2 linked regions of the Saccharomyces cerevisiae S288C genome follow. The gene in region 2 interacts genetically with the main gene of each other region. Each region holds a gene or a part of one and is shown on either strand. Other genes may lie near its edges.

Region 1 (3,498 bases), on a different chromosome or scaffold from region 2:
TTAGCGCTGATTACTGTTACAGTGCAAATGAATTGACATTATTTCTTTTTGTTATTCGAACAGGGCAAAAAAAAGTACTTTATCGATCTATTCCTCACAACACAGCAGCAATTGAAAAAGACAGTTCTTTTGATACAGAAAATAGAAAGAGAAGGTCCGAGGAAGAGGTTGTTCTTAAATGTAGGAAGTGTTCTAATAATTCATTGGCATTAAAAGAAATCAGCACCTATCGTTTGGATAGCGCAGAAGGTTTTGAGAAGTCTCAGCCTCTAAAAGATGAAGCAAAGCTCAGTGATATGAATTATGTACAAGGTAGTATCAGCTATAACAGGACTATTCTTACCGGCTTATGGAAATTATTTCACAGATTGTGCTGCAAAGATCGTTATAGGAAAACCAATCTGTCAGAAACATTGTTCTATGACGATTCAACGGAAAGATGGGTTAGAATGGGAGAGTTAATGCACTATTGAAAGGGAGATGCTTCAATAACTTTTTTCATGAAAAACTATTTAATAAATTTAATATATATACTTCAGAATGAAAAACAAATGAATAGTTTTTACTGAATATGTAAGTGGTATGTGGAATAAGAAACTCAAATGAAGCAATGGCTATTTACAGATGTTCCAAAACTTTTCGCATTTATATACATATTGCCTTAGCTTGGAGGTAAACGATATATATCACCGTTAACTTTCATTCTGTGTATGGCAACTTTAGCATCGTCCTCGTAGCTTTTCGGTAATTTATCATTTGGTTTACTTTCAAACAAAGATCCCATTAAAATCATATCATTAGTTGTAGCATCACACAAAAAGGCAATATAGTCTACAACGTCACGGTCTAACGTCTCAGTCTTCTTAGTTTGCTGATTGACTTTAATTAGTCTTTGCTTCGTATCAAATTTGTAAACCAACTGTAAATGCTCTAACGGCATTCCGGGAATCATGATTGGTTGCACTGAGACTAGTTTAGGAACTGCATTAAACTTTATCAACTGCCAGTCCAGTGTTGCATTACCTGGAAGTTGACGGGACCTAGCCTCGAGAGCTTCCTGAACCCATAATGAAACTAACCCTTTGATGTCCGACAAATTTTTATGAGCAAATGACGTGTTTACATTGATATACGTCTCTATGGCTTTGTTTTTCCAGAGTAAAAAAGAAGGTTTAATGCCTGATTGAAAACGAAACAATGCGACTTGAACAGAGTTCAAACCAAACGTGTAAAGTCTTCTGATCAATGCATTTGCAACAATGAGAGGATGAGCAAATACATTTGGAAGGTTCTTGTAAGCCGAGGGGATAAATATTTCGGCAGCAACACCCAGGTGCCGAGGATTAAAATCTTGCTGCTTACTTTTATCTTTCTTCTTTGTAGTTTCACTTTCTTTATTCAAAATTAACCTCGAAGTTGAAAATAATCGCCGCTTGTTAAATGATATCAACAAGGATCTTGGAGGGAAGAAAAGGCATGTAGATCTTAATACACTCATCTCATAAGCTTAGCTGAATGGATAGGCTTGCTTTCTGATGGAAATTTGCCTTGCTTTTCCAACTATTCCATTACTCAGGTTTTATTTTTTTATTTTGTAATATGGGGAGAAGGCCGGCAGAATATTTACGGACAAATGAATAAATTGGATTGGATTGACTAGTGGAACGTGTAAAGATCGCGATACTCCGTACCAATCACCGAAAGATTGCCCGTAACCGAAATGACTCCATTCTCTGAATTTTTTGTGAAACCAATATCTGAGACTCTTCCTTCATCTTATCAACGTATTGTTCAGTCAATTAAGTAAGAAGTATATTTGAGCGCAGCCTTAATCATATATAGCACCAGTTATATGTTTGCCCCTCTCTTGAGTTGAAAAACACATAATACATAGTACTGTACTTTTCTCTTTTTCATCGTTGGCGAAAATATAATCTTTCTCAAAAATATATATATATGTATATATATCCTTAGATTTGCCGTTGACAATAAGGTGGGCGGCAAATCTACGAAATGCGAGGCGGTTAAAAGAGAGTGACAACATTTTCATAAAAATATTCTGATCTCAAACTGAAGACATAAAATAAGGATATGAGCTACATAGTTGACCTACAAGTGCGAGGATCATCTCTGAGGGTTATCAAATGTATGTTTAGAGAGGATGAGCAAATTTCTTCTCTACATTCTGGTTCTGACTCGAAACAAAACAGCAACAAAAAGCTGGGAGAATTTTTGAATCTGTTAAAAGCAGTGGTCAAGAGGAAGTTGGAAAGTTTCCCAAAAGACCGTTTAAAGACTTCGATTATAACTGGCCAAGAATTAATGAGAGAGGGGCAAGGAAGTATTGAAATTAAGGATCCACCAACGGAGGCGCAACAACATTTGATTAGAAGCCTAGCAAAAGTTTTATTACACCAGTTTTCAAGCATAAATGGCAAAGTTAACACAGTAAATGAAGGACAAGATAATTTGTTTCTATCCTTATTCGTTAAAAAAATTTCTATAGAGCAACAGTCCACATCACACGTCTCTATTAAATTGAACTTTCATGAGAAAATAAATTTGGGTCAGCACATAGATTCTATTTTAGATTCAGAGGAGACCAACGAGTCGGACACTTATCACATGGGATCTGTTGACGAGTTCATTATATATCCCTTTTGCTGTCTGGAAGAGCAAGATGAGCTGAAAAATGGCAGCATACTGTCCACAGAGTTCGACAAGATTGACTTAGAACTAGACGAGGATGATGGTTTTGAGGGAGAAACTTTAAACAATTGTATCAATTCGGTGGGAAATTTTGACATTCCACTAAGTAAGCAAACACTAAACTTAGTAAATATATCATATCTTCCAGGCACAACTTTCGAGGGCCAATGGGAATCGTTGTATTTTGGTAACAATATTAAAGAAAGGTTATATAGCTACGCAACTATATCTCTCAAGATAGCAAGATTCAAACAAACTGGAGACTCCAATCAAGAAGACATTACAACGCTAATCACAAATAATAAATTACTCCTTGTCCATGGTCCTCCGGGAACAGGTAAAACAACGTTATGCAAAGCACTTTGCCAAAAATTATCTGTGAGGCGGGAATTTTCAGACGGTTCCGATACCATTGATACTAATTATAAGGGGATAATAATAGAATTGTCTTGTGCACGCATCTTTTCTAAATGGTTTGGAGAATCGTCAAAAAATATATCAATAGTATTCAAAGACATTGAGGAGCTTTTAAAGGTCAATGAGGGACGAGGGATCTTTATATGCCTTTTGATAGATGAGGTTGAAGCAATAGCAAGTTCAAGAACAAATTTGTCAAGTAGAAATGAGTCAACAGATGGAATCCGAGTTGTGAACACTTTACTTACGCAACTTGACAGGCTGAAAAAATACCATAACTTTTTAGCATTAGCCACGTCTAATTTATTAGATTCATTAGATGATGCTTTTGTTGATCGAGCAGATGGAGTTTTTTATGTTGGAAATCCAACA
Region 2 (3,174 bases):
ACAACCTTACAGCAAAACGAACAGAATGAGCAACATGAAAATAAAACTCTGCCTTCCTTAGCTAACCTACTCTAACGTATAAGTATCTGAACAATTGGTTTAGATCCAAGATTCCGCGCTTCCACCATTTAGTATGATCCATATTTTATATAATATATAGGATAAGTAAGATCCCGTGAATCAAGCTGATAAACCGTTTTGACAACTGGTTACTTCCCTAAGACTGTTTATATTAGGATTGTCAAGAACCTTGACATTACCCCATTGCATGATGCAATAATCTCATATAAATAACAAGCGCAAGTGGTTTAGTGGTAAAATCCAACGTTGCCATCGTTGGGCCCCCGGTTCGATTCCGGGCTTGCGCAATGTTTTTTCCATCCCCAAGTATGGGAACTAAAATAGCTAAAAATAAGTATGAAGTTATATTTTTAAACCTATTTACAGTGTACAAATAAATAATATATCATAAATGACACAGACGTATGTTTTAGGATGCAAAAGTTCAAGCTGCCCTTCCTAATTGAGTGACCCGACCCATCTACCAGAAGCGCCACCAGCTTTTAACCTGCTTATCCTGGACTATTTCCTTTGTTTTCTCCTCCGTTTCAGATCTTAGCTGAGACAGTTCATTTCTGATCCTAGCCAACTCTTCTTTTTGCACCTCCTCCGCCCTCACCTTAGCAAAGTGATCTCTGCTTTGAACGTTATCACCGTTCCTTTCCCAAGGTGATTGAAGGGGGCCCGTCTTCCAAATTGGATCGTCACTTTGAGAAGTTTCCTTAACAATTTTCATCAAAGCCTGCTGCTCCGACTGACGTAGTTTTTTCTCCCTCTCATATTGTAAACGTAATTCTGGGGAAAGCTGGCTGATTAACTGTTGATCTGTTGGCGTTGTGTACTTGAAAAGCAGAAACCCGCTTCCAATAATAGCGCCACCAATTGCATAGACTTTCAACCAACGTACCCACAATGGTCTTTCCATACCCAAATAATGCTTATACTGTCTTTGTTTTGCTATTACTGCCTCTCTAGGAGTTATCGCGCACTGCATGTATATAAAATTTTATCTTGATAAAATACCCCGGGGGATGAGCAAAAAAAGGGATATGGGGAATGAAAAGTGAGATAAACTAGCAATAATCTATTCTAATAAGTAGAACATTCACAAAGACTACTATGGTGTAATTCTGAAAGGATTTACGAGAGCACAAATACTATTATGTATAATTCTGACTGCAGAATCCGGCAAGCTTGATTTAATATCACTTAAGGAAGTAATATCGTTAATTGATAACCGAATATGAATCTCAATGCATATTTTGAAGCATATCAAGCCATTTTTCCTTTTCTGTTGGAGGCATTTTTAAGGAAAGAACAAAAAGTATAAAACACTTCGGTTAATAATAAATGATATGTGAATTTTTTTGAAAATATGTAAAATAAATAAGTAATAAATAAAAATAAGATGTGTTTATCGTAATGTACTATACAAGCCTTCCAAGCCGACTTCTGTAATAAAAAAAAAAGGTGCAGCTTAATGTTTGACGGTTCCTATCCTCTCTCCCTTATAAGCTGTAGTTAACCAATCAACTCACCAAACAAAAATGGGGTGAATACTCTAATAGCTGTGATCAAAATCATAATACCTTCCAATAAAGCCATTGGTAATCCCAAGAAACCACGTTCTTCCATGTTCAAGTAAATGGTGTAAAAAGCGACAGCGAAGAAAACCCTGGTCAATTGCAAAGGCTTTGGCAAGACACCAGACAGAAATTCAACGGGTTTGTTGACACAATCGCCACCTCTTTGGAAATATTTGAAACAACCTTTTTGTAATGCCTTCAAGTTATCGCTGTCAGCAGCGAACAAAGAATACAAAGCCACTGACAAAACGTTAATAACGGAATCGTAACTCTTTCTTTCGAAATGGTAGTCTAGTAATTCATCCAAAACCTTTTCACGGTCGCTGAAGTCTAGGTCACCTATTTTCTTAATCAACAAGACAACATCATGCAAACCGACAGTCATACCACCACCAGTCAATGGATGTCTCATATTTAGAGCGTCACCGATAACACACATACCAGTGACGTCGTTTTGTCTAGCTGGCAAGTAGGAGTTTGGCATAGCTCTAAATTTACCTTGGCTGACGGCTTCATCAAATGAAGGACGTAGACTCTTTGGAATGAAAGGTTGGACATCCTTAATCATCCAACTCTTGATATCAGCTGGGACCTTTGGAGAGTTGTAAGCACAAAGGATTCTTGTTTCTTCTGGACTGATTTGGTAAACCAAGATTGGCATATGATCACTACCAAGAATAACGTGACCGTGCATAGGAGCAGGATTCTTAGCATTGAACAAAGACATACCGACAAACGAAGAACCGACAGTTGGAACATGGTCTGGGTGCAATTCCTTTCTGAAACGTGAAAAGATACCGTCACAGATAAATGTCAAGTGGGCTTTGAATTCCACCTTGCCACGGCCATCAATGTCAACCTTGGCACCAACAACCTCATTCTTTTCATCCTTCAATATCTCAATACAGTTACCTTGCACTCTAGTAACATTTGGCTCTTGAGCAGTAATGTTTCTCAAGTTGTTCAAGAATCTACCATGAACAAAAGCAACACCCCTTTCTCTTTCATCATCTTCGTAATCCTTGATGTGAATAGTGCTGTCTTCCAAGACCTTGTCATTACCATCTTTGACCAAGTCCTTCAATTTTTCAACTTTAGGGATATCGGCCTTGTAAGGGTATGGAATATCAACTTGTTCGCCGTTGAAAAAGACGGTATAACCGGTAACAGGATATGCTTCGATGTTGTTGATAGATTGAATCATACCCAGACTTCTCAATGCTCTAACACCACCTGGTTGCATCAATTCACCAACAATTCTATCAGGCATAGCCCAGTCACGTTCTACGATAAGAACTTTCTTACCCTTTCTTGCTAGACCAGTAGCAACACATGGACCGATAACACCAGCACCGATGACAATCGCATCGTAGGTAATTGTGTTGTCGGCATTAATCAATTCAGGTGCAACGTTAACAGCAGACATGACCCTTTTCTCGATATGTTTTTCTGTGATTTTTTTTTTTCAATTGTTCGAAATAACCTGTATTGTTCAATACTGGACAATTGTTCTGATATATATATATAT

The links.
Region 1: mutations in CBP4 (region 2) and MBA1 together harm fitness less than expected from each alone (positive genetic interaction), as found in Saccharomyces cerevisiae (2 studies listed by BioGRID).

Annotation. Positions count from the first base shown.
Region 1 is NC_001134.8:598,462-601,959, forward strand, and holds MBA1 (Mba1p), read right to left. Parts: upstream 1,499-3,498; coding exon 662-1,498; downstream 1-661. Other genes in the region: YBR184W (uncharacterized protein), read left to right, coding at 1-473; PCH2 (Pch2p), read left to right, coding at 2,092-3,498. UniProt on the Saccharomyces cerevisiae protein: Mitochondrial inner membrane-associated mitoribosome receptor that spatially aligns the mitoribosome exit tunnel with the membrane insertion machinery and allows cotranslational protein membrane insertion.
Region 2 is NC_001139.9:845,352-848,525, forward strand, and holds CBP4 (Cbp4p), read right to left. Parts: upstream 1,055-3,174; coding exon 542-1,054; downstream 1-541. Other genes in the region: YGR174W-A (uncharacterized protein), read left to right, coding at 1,304-1,390; ERG1 (squalene monooxygenase), read right to left, coding at 1,582-3,072.